Linked DNA regions of Arabidopsis thaliana. The protein of the gene in region 1 interacts with the protein of each later gene in a pairwise test. Each region holds a gene or a part of one and is shown on either strand. Other genes may lie near its edges.

What was found. Proteins that work in one complex are often made in the same cells at the same time.
Region 2: the proteins of TIP2;2 (region 1) and UPS1 interact in a protein complementation assay, tested with the Arabidopsis thaliana proteins (one large-scale study listed by BioGRID).
Region 3: the proteins of TIP2;2 (region 1) and GONST1 interact in a protein complementation assay, tested with the Arabidopsis thaliana proteins (one large-scale study listed by BioGRID).

Annotation. Positions count from the first base shown.
Region 1 is NC_003075.7:9,694,861-9,702,454, forward strand, and holds TIP2;2 (tonoplast intrinsic protein 2;2), read left to right. Parts: upstream 1-4,079; 5' UTR 4,080-4,457; coding exon 4,458-4,835; intron 4,836-5,015; coding exon 5,016-5,390; 3' UTR 5,391-5,612; downstream 5,613-7,594. Other genes in the region: G2484-1 protein, read right to left, coding at 116-523, 719-2,312; AT4G17350 (auxin canalization protein (DUF828)), read left to right, coding at 6,722-7,021, 7,228-7,594. UniProt on the Arabidopsis thaliana protein: Aquaporins facilitate the transport of water and small neutral solutes across cell membranes.
Region 2 is NC_003071.7:1,090,603-1,098,590, forward strand, and holds UPS1 (ureide permease 1), read left to right. Parts: upstream 1-4,099; 5' UTR 4,100-4,526; coding exon 4,527-4,754; intron 4,755-4,833; coding exon 4,834-4,972; intron 4,973-5,060; coding exon 5,061-5,214; intron 5,215-5,286; coding exon 5,287-5,410; intron 5,411-5,500; coding exon 5,501-5,875; intron 5,876-5,956; coding exon 5,957-6,109; 3' UTR 6,110-6,374; downstream 6,375-7,988. Other genes in the region: AT2G03580 (F-box family protein-like protein), read left to right, coding at 2,662-2,713, 2,950-3,131, 3,574-3,685, 3,791-3,879; UPS3 (ureide permease 3), read left to right, coding at 6,692-6,919, 6,989-7,127, 7,204-7,357, 7,439-7,550, 7,642-7,988. UniProt on the Arabidopsis thaliana protein: Proton-coupled transporter that transports a wide spectrum of oxo derivatives of heterocyclic nitrogen compounds, including allantoin, uric acid and xanthine, but not adenine.
Region 3 is NC_003071.7:5,685,702-5,694,839, forward strand, and holds GONST1 (golgi nucleotide sugar transporter 1), read right to left. Parts: upstream 5,071-9,138; 5' UTR 4,830-5,070; intron 4,617-4,829; 5' UTR 4,603-4,616; coding exon 4,253-4,602; exon of another isoform or gene 4,009-4,252; coding exon of another isoform or gene 3,926-4,008; coding exon 3,796-3,925; intron 3,289-3,795; coding exon 3,190-3,288; intron 2,642-3,189; coding exon 2,487-2,641; intron 2,405-2,486; coding exon 2,288-2,404; coding exon of another isoform or gene 2,284-2,287; exon of another isoform or gene 2,135-2,283; coding exon 2,037-2,134; intron 1,936-2,036; coding exon 1,883-1,935; 3' UTR 1,615-1,882; downstream 1-1,614. Other genes in the region: AT2G13640 (Transcription factor IIS family protein), read right to left, coding at 435-1,589; AT2G13660 (uncharacterized protein), read right to left, coding at 6,591-6,916, 6,981-7,188. UniProt on the Arabidopsis thaliana protein: Involved in the import of GDP-mannose from the cytoplasm into the Golgi lumen. Required for the luminal synthesis of a variety of plant cell surface components. Is required for the correct mannosylation of the glycosylinositol phosphoceramides (GIPC).

The DNA of each region.
Region 1 (7,594 bases):
AACATGAATCAACCCATCGAAAGGTAAACAAATCTGGTAAGGTCTCCATGGCGGGGCAATATACAAAGAAACAAGCTAGTGCAATTACTATGGCCCAAAATAGAAAAATCGTTACCAGGAGCTTTTACAGCTTCTGTTACTACATTCTCTTCAAAAATTAATTCCTCAGACTGCTGCTGCAAAACTTGTCCAACACCATCAGCATCTACTGCATCCTTTGACCCTTCAGAGCGAGGACAGCCTTCAACAGAGTATGTACTTTGCTTAGTACCTTCAGCACGCTTCCTAGCTTCTTGGTCCATCTGACTCCCTGAACAACTTGCATCCACAGGTGGAACGGTTTGACCATTTTCAGGTTCACCATAAACCTTCTTGGTTTCAGAGTAACTGCCTTGGTCACTGTCATCAGAGGATGTCTTTACCATATGTAAATCTATTGAAGATGTGAGACTGACAGCAGGTGCTCCATCTTGACTTAGAGGTTGTAATTCTTCGAGATTGAGAGAACTGTCAATCATAGTCTCTGTGGAAAACATTTAGGGGGAAACAAGTAAATTACTTGAAGTAATCATGATATATACATTTACAGTGGAAAGGTGACCCCGACAGAAGCAAAAAAAAAAGCTGAACAAGGGCTACTTAGAGAACGAGAAGGCAAAACGTAAAAGTACACAGTATGAAAATAGAGTATATTAAAAGGATTAGAAAATATGTTTACCTGACTTGTCTGTTGGAATGCTGTCAGATTGAGATTCTGACTCCGCCAACTCTGAAGTAGAGCCTCCTGAAACATAGCCAACAGAACCAGACACAACGCTTTCAGATAGGATCTGAGAGTTCTTGACATCTTGATCTCTATCATTGGCATTGACAGGCAGTTCCATGCTTTGCTCGAGATTAGAAGTGCGAGCACTACCTTCATTGTCACTCTTCTTAGACACACCACCTTCTCTAGCTTCAACCATTGAGTCCATCGTTGAAATATAAACACTCTCTGAAGTTTCAAATACGTGTATCTGCGGATATGTCTCAGTCTCTATCTGAAAAGTAGACTCATGTTCACTTGTAATAACTTCCATATGTTGATGACTAAGCAACTCGGGCTTCTCAATGGAAACACTGTTTGTTATAGTTGTCAATTCCCCAGCAAGTTCCAAAGACGCTTCAACAGCTACGCTAGTATGAACAGTGCTGACAAGGAGATCTTGGCATTCGGTCCCAGAAACATCTTGTCCACCTACCTCAAGAGTAGAGGGAGCTTGGTCCCCTCTTTCTAGTACTGTGACATCAGATAGCTCTATCTCCTTCAAATCAGGCTTTGCAGTTTTGCCAATATTTTCAGCTTCCACTTTTTCAACTTCGGAAGCTGAGTCTATATGGCTATCAGAATGACCTTCAACCAAAATTGACCGTGCATCTGCAGTTAGATCATTGCGGTTATAACTACTTTGAATGTGGTCGCTGATAACATTTTCATCATTGGAAGTCTCTGGAAGTAAAGTGCTCTGATTATTCAACTCACCGCTACAAGTAATAATAGTCTGTACATTCCCATCGCTACAATCATCTTCCATCCTTGATTCTACATTGGCTTTCTCTTCTGTTTGGTCAAGAAGATTATCCGTCGTCTCAGTTCCTATTTTACCAAGATCAGTAGTATCTATAGCCTCTACCGTCGCGGTATTAGAAGTCAAGATGGAATTCTTTTCCTCCACAGATGCCTCTTCTACAGCCGTTGGTGAGTCATCTTTAACCAGAACCTGCTCCTGTCCATCATCTGTCTTTACCACAGAGGACTCTCCTGGAGTATCATCCACAGAGGGGTTGGGTTGTAAGTTCACCGTTTCCTCTTTGGAAAGACTTCTTTCATGGGATGTCTGACCAGGCTCTACTGTTTCCATTGTGCAGCCTAGTTCATGAGAAGTGTCAGATTTCTTGATAGTATCCTCTCTTACAATAACTTCGTCCTGTCCAACTGAATTCAAAAGCATTGCAACAGATTCCGACGAAGTAGCCTCAGACCAAACATTATTGTGCCTAGAAATGGCACAGGACTCCGTTGCACCTGAACTAAACACTATACCACTACTTCCACGAGAGAAATCCTCAATCCAGTTATTATCTTCGTTACCCTCAATACCAAGAAAAGCTTCAGATTCACCTAAACTATCAAACCTCAGATGCGTGTTGAGTGTATCATCAAAATCAAACTTTGGAAGAGCATAAGGCTGTAAAACTGGTGGAAATTTGTTGTTGGCTTCACCAGCTAAATGGAGATTCTGGTTTTGAAAGTCACTGTCATCATAATCCATGAGTTTATTCCTGAAATCAGAGACATATATAAACATCAAACAACCAAAAGAAACAAAAGCATAACACAACAACCGTGAAACATATTTAAAGAAGCGACTCTGGTCATTTTCTTGTCGAGTGGAGTAAAACAGTAGGAAAGCGAAAAGTACCGACACAAGAGTGTATGGAGACGCTACCTCCCTCCATTCGGTGACAAGAAAACCTGGCCGTCAGACCTCAACTGTTACCTAATCGCACGTTCATCTACTACTGCTCCACCAACAACAAAACCATACGCGTCAATTATAAAATCTCTTCCTTCTCAAAATTCAAGGGCACACGAAAACCTAAAAGAGTGAACTTTCTTAAAATGATAAATTGAAACGCTAGCGAAGAAGTTAAACTCACCGGAAAATTCAAACTGACGGAGGTGACCTAGGGTTCCGGCGAAGAAACGAGGTTTGGCGAGTGAAGCAGATTGGGAGAGAAATGCCCGATAAATTATATTCGCTTTCCTCGGCAAATGAAATGAGTCTGGTTTAAGTAAAGCCCAAAATTAAATAAATATTTGGAGAGAAAATAAAGATGGATACTGATGCCGCTTAATCCATAGTGACACGTGTCGAATTTTCTGGATCGTGTGGCTAATATTGAACTTAAACAAAAAGACGCGAAAGGTTTTTTACTTTTAAATTAACGTACGTTAAAATTTAGTGTAATTTACTGGCTAGAGTTCCGTTAAAAGAAAATTAAATGACCAAGAGGTAAAAGAAAACAACTTTTGTTTGACGTGACTGTGGTAAAAGTTAGAAGATTTATTGTTGAAATGACTATTGACTACTGATTAGTGTAATGAAGATGATTGGTTGGCTAAACAAAATGGAAAGTGTCTTAAGGATAAAATTAGAGAAGAGACATGTCACTCACTAACTAATAGATAGAGGCTTTTGTGTGTTAGGCAATTGACGGATTGGACTTTTGGACCATCAGATCAAAAGGAATCCATTGGGATATTTATATGGGCTTAGGCCCACTTTATAATTTTTTTCTGTTAGGTTTTTTTGGTATTTTGGTTTATGAATGATAGTATTTGTACCATAGATGGTTTGGTACGGTTTCGTATTGGTATTGGTTCGACTTCAAGTTTTAATCAAATGTTTATTTAACTTGAAAACAAAATTGGATTTAAAATCAGGTTTTTCTTTCTGTTTGTTTAGTTTGGATTCGAATTCAATATTTTGAATAGGAAAAATGAATTCATAATTTTAAAAAAAATATAGTTCATTTTCAGATCGATTATTTGAGTTTGGACGTTTGGTTCATAATATCAGTTTACTGGGATGGAATAATTTTCAACTTTTAAGCGGTAGTGGGTGGAAAAACATTTGTCAGGGATCGGTTTAATCTAGGATTGAGCATTCCACTTCGTTGTTCTATACTGCAAATTAAATTCATGATAATAAAAAACTATCCATAAACCATATACTAAAAATATTACTTTTAAAATTCATGGGGCGGAGAAAGTATTATAAACAACCATCCTCTCTGCAAATTTTTATTTAATGTCACCACTACTTTGGATCACTTTTCTAAGATCTTAAGTTTTCTGTTTGTTGCAATTTTATTACATGTATATGCCAATATCTCTTACACACCAACTCCAAACAAAGCAGCGGTGGTACATGAATTAACTCCTAATCCCTATTAATATTTTAGGCGTTTAGCACCTCCCAAACTAAAAAATACAAATTGTAACCAAAAAAAATATATATAGATATAAAAGAATACGACCATCTATCATAATTGGTGTGAGACAACATTAGTTTAAATGCAGGATATTAACATGACAACAGAACACTCTTATCTTCACATATTATGAAATACCTTATCCATCATTTTCATAGCATTATACCAATTGGTTGTCTTTAATCATCTTCGATGTCACTAACCCTCAAAATTCAAAAGAAAATGAATAGTCTAAATAATTGGCGGTTTGGGCGGCATCCAATTGTGACAGGCCACGTAGAGTGGGACCAACAACTTCATTACCTCGTTTGGCTCTTTGCTATATATAAAGTCAAGCATTAGTATGCCCAAAACCACACAAATAGAAATAACTTGTAATCAACCAAAGTCGAAAAACAGAGTTATTTTGTCGGATCAAAATGGTGAAGATTGAGATAGGAAGTGTGGGTGACTCCTTTAGTGTAGCATCTCTTAAGGCTTACTTGTCTGAATTTATCGCAACTCTTCTCTTTGTGTTTGCTGGCGTTGGCTCTGCTCTTGCTTTTGCCAAGCTCACATCCGATGCAGCCTTGGACCCCGCTGGTCTTGTCGCTGTCGCTGTGGCTCACGCCTTTGCCCTTTTCGTTGGTGTTTCCATAGCCGCCAACATCTCCGGCGGACACCTTAACCCCGCCGTGACACTCGGTCTCGCCGTCGGTGGCAACATCACAGTAATAACCGGTTTCTTTTACTGGATTGCTCAATGCCTTGGCTCCATCGTCGCGTGTCTCCTCCTCGTCTTCGTTACCAATGGCGAGGTACACAAAAACATTCGTAATTTATTCAATACTATTTATTTAAGTCATGTGTTATTTCTGATTATGACTGTTTTGTCCAAACGACCGTGACTAAAAAATGTTATGCCGGTCTTAAGATCCAGTTTGATTTTAAAAGGTATATGGATTAACCGAGAATGTGTTTATTTCCCGGTTATGCAGAGCGTACCGACTCATGGAGTAGCGGCCGGTTTAGGAGCTATTGAAGGAGTAGTGATGGAGATTGTGGTGACCTTTGCTCTGGTCTACACAGTCTACGCCACAGCGGCTGATCCAAAGAAAGGTTCACTCGGGACCATTGCTCCAATTGCTATCGGTTTCATCGTTGGTGCCAACATCCTCGCAGCGGGTCCCTTTAGCGGTGGTTCCATGAACCCGGCCAGGTCATTTGGACCAGCTGTTGTCAGTGGTGACTTCTCTCAGATATGGATCTACTGGGTGGGTCCACTAGTCGGTGGTGCACTTGCTGGACTCATCTACGGAGACGTCTTCATCGGATCCTACGCTCCAGCTCCCACCACAGAAAGCTACCCTTGATCAATCCTATAGCGTTTTAATTTGCTTGGCTTGCTTTTTGTTGTATGAAAATGTTTGGTCCTCGTTTCTTCCAAAAATGAATGATTGAATGTGGAGAAAAAGATCAAAGTTGTACTTTGTGTTGGTTATAAATAAGAATTGTATATTTTCAAATTTTATATCTCTGCCTTGTACTTTCTTGCATGTGTTAATGGCTAAAAATAACCGGTTTTAACTGTCCAATTAAACACTTCCAACCTTTTGATATTAAAATCACATCACACATGTATATAAGAAAATATGTTTTGGGGAATCTTTCAAATATATGCTTGAAAGGTTGACAAAAAAATCCATAGATTCAAGATATCCCAAATTGCTCAATTTTTTGTTTTGTGGAAAGGCCAATATTTCCTTATCCAAGGCCTAATACTGAAAAGGGCCCATTAGAATCCAATTAAAATTCATAAACTCAAGCTAATACACAAATTGGTCTTATTGGCTGGAGACACTACTATTGTTTAAACAACCGTTTAAGAGTACTCAACTTAAGTGATACAAATAGTAATGCTAGAAAGACATTTTAAAAATTCGTTATCCCGTGAAACCAAACCAAACGATGAAACGACAGAGTACATTAATAGAAAAACGAAATGGTCTCTTTACGTATGGTTTATTATTTGAAGGAAGCTGGTCGGTTGTGGGGGAATGAATCGTGTGAGAGCCGTCCGCTCAAAAGACAAAATGCTCTTAAACCAATGCCTTTGTCGTCTCTTTGTGGTTTCACAAACCGTCCCACCAGATTAAGATATTACCTGAATTCATGGACATTGTTCTTAACCATAACATTATCCTCTCTTTCTCCACACCTATATAAAGAACATGGAGACGAGTTCTTAAAATTTGCAAGACTCTTACGGTAAATTAAACACTTATCCAGATTTTTATTGTAATCTATATTATTGATTAGTCTGCACGTACTTTTGGGACTCGTGGTTTGAATAATTCTCTTTTCTCATAGAAAAAGAAGAAAAAAGATTCTCTTATTGTATAAGTTAGGTTTATGCTCTTCCTCTTCTCTTCCACCTGAGTCAACATCATCCTTTTCATCTTCAAAAGCTTTTTCCTTTTAAAATCATTTTCTTTATATTTTTCTTTTTCTCAGTTTTACAGTTCATTTTTTTCAAGTTTTAATTCTGAAACTCAGAGCTGGTTCTCTGTTTTGATCACATGGTTTTGTTCAGAACATAACTCTTGTTCCACCAGGACAATAAATACCATCTTCTGATCACACGTCATCTTTCCATATTCAAGAAAACTTCATTTTCCATCGGAAGATTCGTTTAGGAGAGAAAATGGAAAGTGGCTTTTATTCAGATTGGAAAGATACTTCTTCTTCTTCGTTCTTTGGATCAGAGAATATGGAGGAAGAGTTGGAAGATGGAGTTCTTAGAGCTGAAGAGCTTTTCTCATCGATTCCTCAACCTCAGACACCTAAAGAGCCAATGGAGTTTCTGTCTAGATCCTGGAGTCTCTCTACTTCTGAAATCTCCAAAGCACTTGCTCTCAAACATAGACAACAACAAGATCAGTTTTGTGTTGGCCAGAACAGTCCTCCTGTTTTGTTCCCTGATGCTGCTGCAGATCCACTCGTGGTACGATCCTTTTATCCCTTTTCCAAATTCCAATGAAACCCTTTTTCCAACTATTTCTTAGAATTATGATGAGCCTTAAAAGTCAGAGACTTTTCAATTGTATATGATTGCCATTGCACCAGTTCCTAACATAGTTCTTGGGAATTGGAATGGATAATAATAGTGGACTCTTTTCATATTTTACAACTTTGGGATTTTGATTCTAGGCTGGGAAGATCATGAACTCTGTTGGCACACGTAGAGCAGGGACATTGTCTAAATGGTTTCACCACAACAAGGAACACAGCACCAGCAGTACTACTACCAATCTCAAGAAGAAAGATAAAGTGCGTGTGGAGAACGCCCACGTGCATTCTGCCGTCTCTATAGCGGCTCTGGCTGCAGGTTTAGCCTCTGTGACATCTGCTAGCAATTGCAAAGGGTCAGGCTCCAAGATGGCACTGGCTTTAGCCTCAGCCACTGAACTGTTGGCCTCACACTGTGTTGAGATGGCTGAGCGAGCCGGTGCTGACCATGCACGTGTTACTTCCACGGTTAGATCTTCTGTGGATATCCACAGCCCCGGTGATCTCA
Region 2 (7,988 bases), on another chromosome or scaffold:
CTAATCTAATATTAAATTGAATCAAAAGTTTTTAAAAATAATGGAAATATATACCCTAAATTGGAAATAGAGAACCCAAATATAATACCACAAACTAATACTAAAATGAAAATTCTCTTTTAAATGGTGAAAATATATACCCTAAAGTAGAAATAGGGAACCCAAATATAATATTTTCAATTTATTTTTAATTATTTAGGTTGAATATATTTTATATAAAAATTGTGGTATTATTGAAAAAATAAAGGGAGATTGACACAAATGGCACAAAAAAACTTTATTATTCCAAAAATGACACTTTCTTTTGAAACTTCCAAAAAAAGCATATAAAAGTTTTTAATTCTCTATAAATTAATTAAATAATAAAGTTTTTTTACTACCATTTGTATCAATTCCCCCCCCCCCCCCAAATAAAAATGAGAGCAAACACTGATATTAAATTGAATCAAAAAACTTTTAAATAGTGAAAATATATACCCTAAATTGGAAATAAAAAACCCAAATATAATACTACAAACTAATTTAAAATGAAAAATCTCTTTAAAATGATTGAAAATATAAACCCTAAATTGAAAATAGGAAACCCATATATAATACCATAAACTAATATTAAAATGAATCAAAATTTCTTTTAAATAGTTGGAAATATATACCCTAAATTAGAAATAGAGAACCCAAATATAATATTTTAAATTTATTTCTAATTTATTTTGGTTGAATATATTTTTATATAAAATTGTGGTATTATTATTGTCCATAAAACTTGTTTTTGTGTTACTTTTAAGAATTTCTCAAATAATTATTTGAGTGCTATTTATGTCTAAAAAACTTTTTAATGCTATTTTTTTCAAAAAACTTAAAAGTGTGCTATTTGTGGGAATTTCTCAAAAAGTAAATTAGTGATAATATTTTTAGAACAAAAACTTTAGAGTAAGTCAATTAGTGCTATTTTTGGAAGTTTATGGAGTGTGTGCTATTATTGTCCATAAAACTTGTTTTAGTGCTATTTTGAAGAATTTCCCAAAAAACTATGTCTCTTATAATTAAATAATAAAAAAGATTCAAAAGTAAAGAAGATAAATTTATAAACAAATGTGTAATCAAAACAAGGATTTTGCAAAATGGAAAGATATGACACAACAATTAGACAATACATATACTGAATTTCAAATTTCAAATTTCAAATTTCAATAAGTTGTTTAATGTTTATAAATTTATATATTAAACAAATATTTTTGATAAATCTGATGTTCGTATTCATGATACATCTATCATAAAATAAATATTTTCTTTAGTTAAAATTAGCAAAACAAAACAAGGATTTTGCAAAATTGTAAGATATGACACAACAGTTATAGGTACATATACTGAATTTCAAATTTCAAATTTTAAGTAAGTATAGATTTATTTAAATTTAATGTTGTTTTGTCATACCGATGTAATTGGCTATATAATATTTTTTGAGAAATCTGATGTTCGTATTCATGATACACCTATCCTAAAATAAATATTTTCTTTAGTTAAAATTAGCAAAATAGAATGTGTAAGATTGAAATTTGTTTTTTCTTTTAAATATTATATTAAATATAAAAAGTGTGTTAACTACGATTTAGAGCTCATATATCATAAATTAAAATTAGCATTTTTTTTTTCTCACCCGCCTATTTAGGCGGGCCTTATCTAGTTAATTATAAAAAGACAATTGACAAAAATAGCACCAAAAAAGAGTTTTTTTCCAAAATTAGCACAATATTTCTGAGATTTCACAAATAGCACGATAAAGTTCAATTAAACTTAACTAAAATATAAGATTGAAAATAAAAATGAGAGCAAACACTAATCTAATATTAAATTGAATAAAACAATTGTAGAAATATATATCCTAAATTAGAAATAGATAACCCAAATATAATACCACAAACTAATATTAAAATGAAAAATCTCCTTTAAATGGTGAAAATATATACCCTAAATTAGAAATAGGGAACTCAAATATAATACCATAAACTAATATTAAAATGAATCAATTTGTTTTTAAATGGTTGAAATATATACCCTAAATTGAAAATAGAGAATCCAAATATAATATTTTAATTTATTTCTAATTTATTTTGGTTGAATAGATTTTATATAAAAATTATGATATTATTCAAAAAATAAATTAGTGATAATACTTTTAGAAAAAAACTTCATAATAAGTCAAGTAGTGCTATTTTTGAAAGTTTATGGAATGTGTGCTATTATTGTCCATAAAACCAGTTTTAATGCTATTTTTAGGAATTTCTCATTGTAAAAAGAGCATTGCAAAAATATTAAGACAACAACAAAAGTAAGCTCTTTAGCTGATATACGACCACCAACTATCTGGCTATCGAGAAGATCTAATATGCAGGGAAGTTATTCACTAGAATAATTCAATAGATTTGTTTAGTATAAAACTATTATTAGATTGAGTAAATATAAAAATAGTATATTTAAATTTGAGAGGAATGACATATGTCAAATGAATCAAACACCACTTGTCAGTTTTTTACGGTATGAGTTTGAGGGAACCTTACTTATATGTAAATGTATAAAAATAGTTAAACTTAATAGGCGTTCGTTCTAATCCCTAAAACAAAACCTTAGTTACTTTAGCGTATAGGGCAAGTAGGCGCAGACATGGATATGTCGATGAGAGAAGAGAAAAGACCAAAAGTGTTTGATAATCACGGTTGGTCCAAACTTTAATTTGTCCCGCGCGATCTTTGCAAAAGACCATGAAAATATTGATCTTTATTTACCTAAAGATCATCAAGGTGGATGCGCGTAACGATTTGATGAGAGAAGAAAACTGACCAAAAGTATCTCATCATCACGACTGGTCCAAGCTTTGTCTTGACCTTTTGCGAAAAATCATTGAAAGCTTGAACTCTATTGACTACCACCAAGCAAAACTCGTTTGCTCAGATTGGTATTTCGTTTGGAAAACATGCGTGAAACGGCCTCTGTATCCATGGCGGATCATATACTACGATGATGATTCTTCCAGTTTGTTTGATCCCGGTGAAGACAAGATTTACGGGACAAAACTCCTCGGACTCTCTGACAATAGCTATTATATGGCTAGCTCCGGAAACTGGCTCTTGATGGTAGATTCTTGATAGGTTTATAAGGTCGACTACTAGAGAAAGAAGCTGAGAAGATTGGGCTAAGCGAAGCTGAGAAGAGAAAAGAGGAAGTCAACTACTGTGTTGACTGAGTTGACTTAACAAATGAGGGCAAATACTCTTTCCAGTTAGAGGCCTTGAAACTCTTCTTCTATAAATACTGACTCTGTTCTTATCTGGGGATTTTATGCTTTTTATGTTGTGATATTTCTCGAGAGAGAATTGGCCTTGTGATGTGCCAGAGGAAGAGATCAATGTTGATCTCTTGGTCATCGGTTGCTTATATCTATGTTGATCTAAACATAACGATTCTTATCTTCTCTTTGTAGTTACGTAATCGATTCTATCATTACGATCTAGAGTTTCTAGAGTTTAAGGATTTGAAACTTTAACAAGTCTCGTCTTGATTCGAATCTTATTAAAGATCAATCTTCCGTCAATGGAGTCGTCAGTTCGCGGTGGAAAAATAAGATTCGAGCCAAGCAGATACTATAATAGACAAGGCAAGTGGGGATGGTTCGTCCTCCATCCTTTTGGTAAGTATTGCGTGTCCAAACACATGTTGGGAATAACAAGATCAGTTGGTCTTGGATAGATGAGAGGACAGTGGATTATTTAATTGCTTGGACTTTACACAACAGTTATTTGTTCACATACAAGAAAGGAGATGATTCTTGGTGGAACTGGAATGATAAGTATGGGACATCAGCTCCGATGTTTGGGGATTTAGCTTACAAGAACAGCAAGCTTTATCAGTATACTTTGCGCCACTACATCAAGATTATTGATTATTGTTACATACTTTTACTTCACCTTTTTGTTTTGAATTTTTTTTTTTATAATGATTTTAAGACAAGATTGTGTCAGCCGTTGACTTATGATCAACTAGGAACCTAATCGGAACGCAACTCGAGATTCATTTTATTTATTTTATACTACAAAATTATCTTGAAAAATATATCGAGGAAGGTGTCATATCTCATGGAATCCGAATCTGCCAATAATATGAGAGCCACTAGCAATTATTCTGAATCTCCCCAAAGGGAAGAATCAAAAGTTGTTCTCTCTTGTTCTGTCTTTGTTCTTTGTTAGAGTTAGAACAGAAGCTTCCAAAAGGTAATAATAATCTCTTTCAAGAAACTCATTATTAGTCAAAGATGTTTACTTTTTAGTACTCTCTCTGTTCTTCATTGCTTCTCTAGAAACCCAATAGATTTTGACTCTTGCCTTGCCTTTGCGGTTGTCTAAAGATCACAATCCTCAATTTGAGTTTGATCGATCATTAATGTGTGTCGAAGATCAGATAACCAAAAGAATCTTGTTTGGTGCAGAGTTTTTTTCATGATTTTTATAAGTATATAAAAGAGAGATAGAAAGATGTATATGATAGAGAGCAAAGGAGGAGCAATTGCATGTATGCTCTTGGCTCTTCTCTTCTTAGGGACATGGCCAGCAATCATGACTCTAACCGAAAGACGCGGTCGACTTCCTCAACACACTTATCTTGACTACACACTCACAAATCTGTTAGCTGCAGTGATCATAGCGTTGACACTAGGAGAAATAGGTCCGAGCAGACCAAATTTCTTTACACAGCTCTCTCAAGTCAGTCACATCTTCTTACTTCTCCTTAGACATCTTGTCGAAAACTATTGTATAACCGCGGTTTTTTTTTTTATCATAGGATAATTGGCAGTCAGTGATGTTTGCAATGGCTGGAGGAATAGTTCTTAGCCTTGGAAACTTAGCAACACAATATGCTTGGGCTTATGTTGGTTTATCAGTTACTGAAGTCATCACAGCTAGTATCACTGTTGTTATCGGTACACTCTTCTTTCTTCAACTACTCTTAACTGATTTTTTCCTCTGTTTCTTCTCTGTTCTTATGACCATTTCTGTTTTCTAGTACAGGCACAACTTTGAACTATTTCTTGGATGATAGAATCAACAGAGCTGAGGTCCTTTTCCCGGGGGTCGCTTGTTTCTTGATCGCTGTTTGTTTCGGTTCCGCTGTTCATAAATCCAATGCTGCTGATAACAAAACCAAACTCCAAAATTTCAAAAGGTTTGAAAAAGATTCATATCTATTGTTGTTTCCGTTTGGTTTGGTTTGGTACTAATCTTGATCTTGTTTCAGTTTAGAGACTACTTCTTCCTTCGAAATGGAAACAATTTCTGCAAGCAACGGGTTAACAAAAGGGAAAGCGAAAGAAGGGACTGCAGCTTTTCTCATAGAGCTTGAGAAGCAAAGAGCTATAAAGGTTGAAACATACTACTCTTCCTTTACCCTAACAGATATAACTGATATGTATATATGTTCTCTGAAGATTCATGATTGGCATTGAGGACAGGTCTTTGGCAAAAGCACAATAATCGGATTGGTGATAACTTTCTTTGCCGGTATCTGCTTTTCTCTGTTCTCACCTGCATTCAACTTAGCAACAAACGATCAATGGCACACATTAAAACATGGAGTTCCAAAACTAAATGTGTACACTGCCTTCTTCTACTTCTCCATCTCTGCATTTGTAGTTGCTCTGATACTTAACATCAGATTTCTCTATTGGCCTATACTTGGTCTCCCAAGATCTTCTTTCAAGGCTTATTTGAATGACTGGAACGGTCGAGGCTGGTCTTTCTTGGCTGGATTTCTATGTGGATTTGGCAATGGTCTTCAGTTCATGGGTGGTCAAGCCGCAGGCTATGCAGCTGCAGACGCTGTTCAGGTTTAGACAATAAACAAATCCTCTGTTCCATGATTTAAGAGTGAAATATGTTTTACTTATTATGATTTGAATATGTTTCAGGCACTTCCACTTGTGAGTACATTTTGGGGGATATTGTTGTTTGGAGAATATAGAAGATCATCAAGAAAAACATATACACTTCTCATCAGTATGCTTCTTATGTTCATAGTCGCTGTCGCGGTTCTTATGGCTTCCTCGGGACATAGAAAATGAAATTCACTGAAACTTCTTCAAGTTAAACTGCTAAAAGGATCCATTGAAGGAAGAGTTACTTCACCAATGGCTGCAACATGTTCAAGTCTTTGTTTATATTTAACCAAAGTGTTTTCTTTGTTGGTTTCTGTCTTAGGGCTTTGCTAACAACAATTGGTTGTATTGTCTTTGTTTACACATCAGAGAAAGAAAACTATAGTTTATGGCAACTTGAGATTTATTTATTTTATAGAAAATGGGAAACTAACTTCTTCCTGAATCTGGATCTGCCAATCAAATGAGAGACTAAGTTTTTTTTCTTCTGTATCTGTTGTTCTCTGGTCTTCCTCAAAGTCAAAGTTAAGACAAAAGCTTTAATAAGGTAATCTCTTTCAAGAAACCTAGTCAATAGGGAAATTTAATGGAATATAAGGTTTGAGTTTTATAGAGATCTTCTTGTATCAGCATGTGTCTTGTGTTAATGTTCTAAAGAACCTTTCTTAAGACAACTAGCTTCATTTTTATCACGAGAGATCAATGATATGATAACAGAAGAATCTCACTTCTTTACTTTGATGCAGTGGGATTTGGTGATTTTATAAAATGTATGTGATAGAGAGCAAAGGAGGAACAATCACTTGTATGCTCTTGGCTCTGCTCTTCTTAGGGACATGGCCAGCAATCATGACTCTAACCGAAAGACGCGGTAGACTTCCTCAACATACTTATCTTGACTACACACTGACAAACCTGTTAGCTGCAGTTATCATAGCGTTTACACTAGGCGAAATAAGTCCAAGCAGACCAAATTTCACCACACAGCTTTCTCAAGTCAGTTACACATACATTCATACACATATTTGTTGTTGGTTTTTGAAATGCAAAGTTTTTTTGTCACAGGATAATTGGCCGTCTGTGATGTTTGCAATGGCTGGAGGAATATTTCTTAGCCTTGGGACCTTAGCAACACAATATGCTTGGGCTTTTGTTGGGTTATCTGTCACTGAAGTCATCACAGCTAGTATCGCCGTTGTTATCGGTAAACTCTTCTCTTCAACTACTCTTAACTGATTTTTTTCCTCTGTTCTTATTAACTCTTTTGTTTTCAACAACAGGCACAACTTTGAACTATTTCTTGGATGATAGAATCAACAGAGCTGAGGTCCTTTTCCCGGGGGTCGCTTGTTTCTTGATCGCTGTTTGTTTCGGTTCTGCTGTTCATAAATCAAATGCAGCTGATAACAAATCCAAACTCCAAGGATTCAAAAGGTTAAAAAAAGATTCACTATACTAGGTCTTTGTTTTGTTTTCTTTTGGTTTGGTTTTTAACCTAATCTGATCTTGTTTCAGTTTAGAGACTACTTCTTCCTTCCAAATGGAAACAAGTTCTATAAAAGAAGGAAAAGCAAAAGTAGGGACTGCAGATTTTCTTATTGAGGTTGAGAAACAAAGAGCCATAAAGGTTAATAATAATACACACAGCATTTTCCTAAACAGAAATAACTGATATTCACTGATACTCAAGATTTGCGTTGACAGGTTTTTGGGAAAAGCACAATAATTGGACTGGCGATAACATTCTTTGCCGGTATCTGTTTCTCTCTAATCTCACCTGCAGTAAGCTTAGCGACAAACGATCAATGGCACACTTTGAAACATGGAGTTGGCACACTTTGAAACATGGAGTTCCAAAACTCAATGTGTACACAGCCTTCTTCTACTTCTCCATCTCTTCATTTGGGGTTGGTCTGATACTAAACATCATATTTCTCTATTGGCCTATACTTGGTCTCCCAAGATCATCTTTCAAGGCTTACCTAAATGACTGGAACGGTCGAGGCTGGTCTTTCTTGGCTGGATTTCTCTGTGGATTTGGTAATGGTCTTCAGTTTATGGGCGG
Region 3 (9,138 bases), on another chromosome or scaffold:
TAATAACTTTTCACGGCGATATATACTAATATAGTAATATGTATTCAAAACTTTTTTGAGAATTTGTAAATAAAACCTCATATTTTGAAATTTTAACAGAAAAGTACTCTTTTGTTTTCTTTGGTGTAATGGAAATCCTTTATGAGTAAAAAATGTAATAGAATTAAGATTCGCCACAATATTGTTGCATTAAGTAAGACACTCATCATGATTGGTTCTCACCTTCTTTCTCTCTCGAACTCACTCGATCTCTCTCTTGTGTAACAAACAAAGCATGGAAAAGTAAAGACACAAAGAATATTACAAATTCAGGTTCCAATGTGGAACCCTACATAACATACGAGAAATTCACCAGTATACTTGCTCAGCACTCAACCATGCTTACAATGAGTTTATATCTTCCTCACACTTATATTCGATCTCAATAAAATGGTTCAGAACCTTTTGAATCCACAAGAGACTTTGATTTGTTCAAGCCATATGATCTTCACATAACTAAGTTTCCTCGTCTTTGATGAAGCCTTGGTAACAGACTTTTTACGTTCTTGTTCTCTGATCCTCTGTCTCCAAAGGTGAAGAAGGGCTGATGCAACATGGCAAATCTTGCGATCTTTATGTTTTGTAAGTCCCTCAAGCTTATCCATCATCCTCCTTGGTTCTTTTGGTTTTGGAGTAATGTTGATCTTCATCAATAACGAGAGAGCGTCAATGCAGCGAGACACCTCTGGTTTACCTGAGAGAACACCCTTAGCGTTGGCCACATCAGCAGCTTTCTTTGCTGCTTCGAACAACTTCACCATCTCATCCACTTTCTTCTTCTTCAGCTCCTTTTCTGTTTTAGTCTTCTTTATCAATGAACCATCTTCATGTGGCTTCTTCGTTGTAACATCCTCCAAAGAGACACGCCTTGTCTTCATGTTGAGCTGCTTTAGATTGGTCTTTGTCTCTTTCTTAAAATATTTCTCGACACAAGTCTCAGATCTATGATCCTCTTTCTGTTTCAAAGCCAAAAAGCTGTTCCTTGCTTTATTCTTCTCTGTTTCACGAGTTAATGATCTCTGATCTTCTTTCCTATTCAACTCCGAGAGTTTGATCGTTGTCTTACTCTCTACTGCTTCAACAGTCGTCTGAGATCTCTCGTCTTCTTTATTCTTCAACACCGAAAAGGCAGTGACTTGACGAGCCATAGTTCCCGGTTCTTCTTTCTTCTTCAACTCCGAACACATTTTTAGAACATGCTTCTTCATCTTCAGACGATCTTTGGTAAGAGCAGCTGTGAAAGAGTTGTCGCTTCCATGTGCGTAGAATGTCTTCAACCATGAATGAAACAAGGCTTGGGCTTCCTTACGGATTCTAGGGTTCCTATGACTTCTCAAAGTCTCCAGTTTAACTATTGATTCAGACAATCGTATATCCTTCACGGAAAGAGACAGAGACTTCAAGTGATTCAACACATCGATGCATCGCTCGACTTCGCATGGGTTCCGTGTATTGTAAGTAGCCTTAATTGCAGCAGCAGTCAAGTCGCATAAGTCAGATCTCTCCTTCGCAATTCTCACTCTCATCATCTTTCCGTCGTTCTTGATCATCAGGTGGCTAGGGTTTTCAGTTTATGTTGAAATCTCATACCATTGAATTTCTTTACTGGAAAATTGGTAAAAACGAAGAAACACATAAACCAACACTTCTCTTACCACTCAAGAATCGATACATTCATTAATATTTTACTAACATTATACAAGTAGAGTGGCGAAAGCTTTTACAAGAAACACATAACGTGCATAGAATTCTGAGGTTATAAACTCATTGCTCTGCTTTAATCAGCTTTTGCCATGTCCTATACTGATTGATGTAGTAAAATGTGTTGTAGATGGTTAGTATTTTAGGACTTCTCCCTCATTTTGGCTCTAGCAAATACAACTCCAGCGACAAGACCTGCAAATTAGGCCACCTCAGGTTTAATAATAATACACAACACAAGCGATATGTGTTCCTTCAAGAAGTTGGAAAAGGGAACTGATCGAGAGAACGCTTACCAAAGAGTATGCTTGCTGAGTTCTGCAAACTGGTCGGTACATTGAAAAGAACGATCCCCGCGATGGATAGAGGTATCTTGTTTAGAGATCCCACCAGGCTATGATTTTGAATAAAGCGAAAGATGTATCTAGTTAGGACTGAACCAACAAAGAAGCAAACATAGGAAAGGGATATATGGAGAAGGCTAGGGGACAGCAACACTCTCTTAAGCAAAGTTTTGAAATTGCTCTATCTCTCTCTAATTTGCTACCTGTATGTTGTTGCTCCAGTTTGATGAAGAAACCACATTGAAGTAAAGCTAATGGCAAGCCCTAGAAGTCCACTAAGTGTCATGACCATCCAGAAACTTGGTAATCGTAGAAGTGGCCTGCACAAATATAATACACCATTTTGTTTTCAGATGACACAAACCATTTTCCATTGACACAGAAATAAGGACAGGAACTCACGTTTGATAGAGATAATCCATCTCGTTGAAGAAATAAGAAAGAAGAAGCCCAAGTGGTAATGAAAGTGTGTTATTAAGCAAGACCATGGAGAACTCGTTCAAGTTTCCAGATTGAGTAACCTGCTTGGCCGTATCCATGGTCTTTCTCAAAGTCAGCTGCAAAACAACAAAATATAAGGCAAGTCAAAAGTGGTGGCAAATTTTATAAGAGTATAGTAGCCTAGCTAACAAGCCAAACACTTGGTTTTTGTTGACAGGATATAGGGATAAATTTATGGGAACCTAACAGTCTAACACTCTCGTTTTTTGACCCAGCAATGGAAAACCTAGTGAGAACTGAGAAGTTGATGGTGTCAATTTGCATTCTTTGCCCAAAGTCTTCTCTTTAACATGCTATTCCTACTTCTAACAACGAGTGAAGTACTCAGGTTACCAGTGACAATGGATTGCAAGCTATAAAATTTTCTAAGGTAACAGAATCTCGGTATCTCGTGAGCATCTTAAAACTCAAAAGCAAGCCAGTATCGTAATGATTATAGGGAAGGCTGTTTAGTTTATTGACTTAGTCTTAACCAAACAGCATGTAATACTCGACATGAAAGCATGGTTTTTAAGTGATCTCCTTTTCATATATGTGTTTATTGTTTCAAATGACTCCTAACATTTTGGGAAAAGAAAACACAAATGATCAAATGTTTACTCACCGAGTACGATGCAGTTAAGAAGCAATTAGCAATCTGCCAAGCATAGCCAACAGCATTGAATGATAGGTCTGTTATTCCTCCAGAAACTGCGGAAATTATCTGCAAATGAAGGACGAAAGAAGCACAGGTTAATCAAAACTTTATCCTCTACTTATTCAAGATCTATACAAAAACAAATAGAATATACATATAACAATGAGTAGCCGTGACAAAAAAACATGATTACATTTCCCTGGCAGACTAATTGTGGAAGCAGTTAAAAACATGTATCTCCAACAGTATTGAAAGGTTAGGCTATGCCACACCACTGAAAGCCGCTACGACAAGTGTAACTGTGTACGCACACAAAAGGGTGGATCACTTATCAATAAGAAGATATGCTTTAGACTTTATTGGTTAAGGTTGATGATCAGAGAGTGCTTTGAGAAAACAAGAGAAAACCAAATCCAAAACAGTATAGAATCGTTGTTTGACAAGGATATCTTTCAAAAACTCCAATCAAAATGCTATCTATGTGCAGCTTGAAATAGGTTCCTTGAGAATAGTTTTTTCTCAGGTACAATTTACAGAATCAGTTAGAAATACTTTTAAAGCAGACAAACATACCATTAAGAAGAGAGCAGCCCACACTCTGTTGTCATGTTGCTTGTTGAACAGATACATCTCACCAACTGCAGTTATCACATTAGTGACATTCTTCAGGACAGTGACCATTGCTACATTGATGTATTTCAAACTGTCAAAGAAAATGTAATTCAAATAGACAATCAAGTTCAATCTGCTCTTCAAACACCGCCTACATACACATATACGATACATATCTATATATCTCGACCTACTGTGAAGTAAATCCAAAATATCTATCTGTTTCACCTAAGTGTCTACACGTTATTTAATCCTCGATCTGCTGTAAAGATGATGTACAGATTCTTATAACTACCTTTAGTACTCCAAAAAGTTGACTTTACTAATTTAGTAATCTTATAGGCTTGAGAATTAAGAGAGCATCGATATATAATTCAACAAACCAACACAAAATAAAGGTGTAGAAACACATTCTTACCTAAACATGCTTGTGATAAGCATACCAACAAAGATGACATTCACTGGAAACCAGACCTTCATCAACCTCAAAGTAAGTGGTTCAGTAGTTATTAGACCCATTAAACTCAAACCAACCACAATGATCACCGAGACAAAGTTCTGGTATAACATAAGGAAGATCCCAGCATTGAAGTTGTAGCTGGAGAGAACAAACTTGTTGACAAGTATCATACTGCATGATGAAATGCAATAAGCTAAACCGGATAACAAAGCCCGGTTATGTATCTTTCTTGGAATTGGTTTATCTCCTCCGGATTTTACTGTCTTCCCATCTTCTAAATCAACTCCATCGTGTTCGTACAATTTCATTGCAAAGCTAAGACCTACCAAAGAAACTAACTTCTTTCAAGCTTATATAACTAGATCCATCATTCTTAACAATACACGCACAAAAAAAGTAACAGTTTTACATAAAAACCAATTCGGTTCCAATTCGCAGCTAAAATCAACTTAAGACGAGATTGGATCAAGCAGCAAAGTTGAGAGTAGCTACACAAGCGTTAATCGGAAGTTGTGTAGAGAATAACGAATTTTACCTCGAAGTTGTCCAAAAGCTCGCGAACTAAAGATTCAACTTCGGACGAGATCTAATTGATGACAAGTTACCGGAAAAAAAAAAAACTATGAATCGGAAGAAGAAGAAGAACATGAAACTTGCTCACGCGGAGGATCTTCGTCAGGTCGTGGTGGAGCTATCTGTGAAATGTTGTTTTGAAGAAACAATGGAAATTAGGAAACTGAAAAGACGAGGGAGAGAGATGGCATTGACCAGAAGAGAAAAAAAAAAAAAAAACTGACCAATTTTCGTTTCTTTCGTTTGTTTATTTATATTAAAATTAAGAGTTTCGTAAGTTAGAGGAAGTTCCATTATGTAAAACAAAATAAATTTTCTCAGTGGGTATTTCAAAATTGACAAACTCATCAACTACTCATGTCAAACATGTCTAAATGAATAAATAAAACTAGTATGTATTTCTTGAAATTAAAAATTATTCCAAAGCGAAAAATAGCCTTTTATCTATAAATACAGAATAATATTGATCATTTTTAAGACAATAAAACAGAATAATACTGATCATATACAAATAGGCCATATACAAATATGTCATAACTATACTAAAATTTAAGAAAATATTAGCTATTTAATACTATCAAACAAATCTCTTCATTGAGGTCATTCAACACAAACATTGTTATTTATAAAAAAAGAACACAAACTTTGTTTGGAGTAACTTTGACAGTTACACGTTAAATATGTTCTCTCCTAAGGTATTGAGCTTATGATGTTATTTTGTTAATTTTCATCATTTTATAGTTATTGGTTATTATATAAATCTCTTATATATTGAGAAGAAATAATAATATAAACATAAATTATCTAATTTAGTTATAATGGTTTGGTACCATATGGTCCAAATCACACAATATGTTGTACAATTTGCTTTTTTGGAAAAATGTCATTTAAATCAGTAGTTTACTATTTTTGTTGATTTAAACTATGAGTTCTGTATCTGGTAATTTAAATTCTCAATTTTTATGTTGATTTTCAATTTAATCACGAATTTTCGTTAATTAAGCAAATTGAGGCACAATTTTTTCTCTTTCGCACCATCAATCGACATAGAGATAAGAGATTATTTTGAATTTAAAGAAGAAGAAGGAATCAAAAAAAGGAAAGAATTCAAAAAAGAAAAGAGGGAAAAATGAAAATCGATTTTGGATTCTAGTGTTTATGATTTAAGAAATTTATAATGATGCGTCTTAATTAGTTTAATCAGTGAGAATTCGTATTTAAATTGATAGTCAGTGCAAAAGTGTACTACTGTTATGTGTCTCTAAACTTGGCAATTTGACACAAAATCTGAATGAATAAAAATAAAAGTTTGGCAATAATGGTCCATTTGCCTTTTTGCTTTGTACCATACCGTTGACCTTTCGGCTTAATTCTTTCCACCAGAAATTTTAGCCTATCTATTTTGACTCTTTGACACAGTCCACTTCTAAATCCACTAGCCATAGCCCAAGTTACTCGAGCACGTAAAATAAAATCCTTTAGGCCCAAAAGAACCAGTGTAGCCAAACGCATGACCATTTTGTTTTTTCCGTAACGCATGACAATTTTTATAACAAAAATATATTCACACTCTAATGTTAACGACACTCATCTTGTTCTTGAGAACAAATAGTTGAATATCATTTTCGTATTATAACATTTAATGAAAAGAGTTTTCTATCTCTTCTCTCTTTCATATCTTTTACAGAGAGGGAGCTCTGTTTTTCTTTTGTAATCTCCGTCTTCAATCAGAGCTTTTTGGTTTGTGTTTTAGATTTCCTGTTTTGATGCCGGTTTCTCTTTCCGACTTGTTCGGATTTACTTTCTTTCTTTCTCTTTTGGTTGCCTTTTGCAGGCTCAAATTAACTCTTCCAATTTCGGGAAGATGAAAATTCCAGAAGTCATCAAATGGATCCTTGTTCATTGAGTGCTTGATTCTTCTCCCAAGTGAAGGTAATTCCTTGCTCCGCCAAAAGGGCTTGTTTAGAGCATCGGTTCTCCTTGGTGGATTGATCAAGTTGATGCGGTTGATTGGGACGGAGTATGAAGAATTGGAGTCTTCGTCTTGTTCTGATGAATATTTCGGGCTAATCGGCTGAGGTTACAAATTCTCGTGATCAAGTTTAGGTCCAACCAATCTCTTCTGGTGATCTATGGCAAAAGGCGAGTAGGTACAATCGAAGGCAGAGATAGAGGTTTCTTGGAGGACTGAGTTGATCTGCCGGCTGGTGAAGGAAGTTTCCGGTGATGATGAGTCGGTGACAGCTGATGAAGGAAGTTTCCGGTGATGATGAGTCGGTGACGGCGAAACCTTTTTCTTCTCTCAACATCCCACATTGCATAACACGTATCTCTTTTTTATTTTTCTTATCTTGTGTTTTGCAATTAGTGGGCTAACTTTTGGCCATCTTCTGTACCGAATATCTGCCCATTTGGGCTTTTATAAAACATATTAGGCCGACAAAAAAGAAAAAAAGAAAAAAAAACACCACTTACTATTTTTACTTCTCACTTTATAAGCTTAGAAATAGTATTACCCTCCACATCTCTCTTTTGGTCTCCTTATTTTACACTTACAAGTTTGGCCATCACAAAGTCTGCCAACTTCAAAAAAAGTCTGGCAACTTGATTTCACCATTCGAATCCAGTAATATATTTTTTCCTTTGATCAAAATAAATCTTAAAAGAAAAGAAACAAATGGAGTTCCCTTCAACTTAAAATATTTCATGATAAATATATTACAACCAAAGCTTACATATGCACCATATTTTGTCCATGTAAGACCATCTCCAATAGAGAGAGCCTCCCTATGGGCTCTCTCTATTTTTTTAATACAATTTTATTCAAATTATGTTAAGAGAGCTTATGTTTTTTTTTTTTTTTTTTTTTATAGTCCAATGGTGGACTTTTTCAATGAAGTTCTCAGAAAAAAAAAAATGTGCTTAACATGAAATTTTACTAATTGATTCAAGCAATAACAGATCAACAATGATAGTAGGCTATGATTCTGGTACATGTGATTTTTGAATCTAAAACAGAGTGTGCTTTTCCATGGGATTAAACAATGATAGTAGGCTATAATTCTGGTACATGGGATTTAAACATAGGAATTTATGCATAACTCTACGTGTTAAGCATCTAAATCAAAGTTTTTTTTTTGTTCGTCTGTTCGTCACATATATAAACTTGTATAAATTTTCAAATCAATGAATGAATAAGATGTTAAAAAAAATGTTCGAATGGATAATGGTTTTCGTTAGAAAGAATAAACACAATCAAAGATGAGTCAGTTTAGAATTTAATTTCAGAAACTTTTAATACACATAGTTCTTCTAGATTGGATGTCACGCATTTTGAGAATTTCCTTAATTGTTGTTCATTCTTCAAACAATGTCTACTTGCTAATCCATGCATATACAAAATCGAGTATGCAATGATATGATACCAATGGTATCATACCATATAAAGCAATGTCTACAAAGATTCATACATACTAAAAACTAGGCCATGCATGCATGTTATGATACCATATAAATCAAACAAATTCATTTAACATTGTACTATTGGTAAAAGAAACCAAATTGAGAAATGGACCAAAACAATAAAAACAACAATAATTCGTTAATCCGTTCATAGTTACATTAAATATGTCACAGAAAAACTTGGAATATAACAGAAAATAAAGGAGAAAGACACGGACCTCCATTTGTGAGAGACACACACCTCCCAGTCACACAATCGCTATTTTATTAACCTCTCTTCTTTCGCCACGTGGCATCTCTCTCTAACTGAAAATATTCTCTCATTTCCCTCTTAAAACCGTAAAGCAACATTTTCTCCTCCATTTTTGATCTCTCTCTCTCTCCCTTCTTCTTCTTCTTCTTCTTCCTCTCGTCGCCATTTTTTTTTCCTCTGTATCTGTTCATGCCCGACGCCTAACTGAGTCACCTCGTCTCTGCTTCAGGTGAATCTTCGTCGCTACTTCTCCGTTTTTGTAAATCGTCTCGAAATTACACTCACTTTTGGTTTCGTTTTCTTCTAATCTTCAGGGAAGGGGATCTGAAAGCTCTTCGCATCTAACGTGAGTTCTTCCTTTCGTAGAATTTTTACGTTCGATACTGTATATTGAATCGATTCAGCTTCCGTGAGATTTTGTTTTGAAAAATGTGACGAGAAACAATGAATCGATGTTTGTTTTCGTTTCGTTTTCGATTTCTTCTCCATCGCTCGAGCTCCTGATTTTGATTTTTGTCCATGTTTATCGTCTGCACTGATTTCGAGGTCCTTTTGT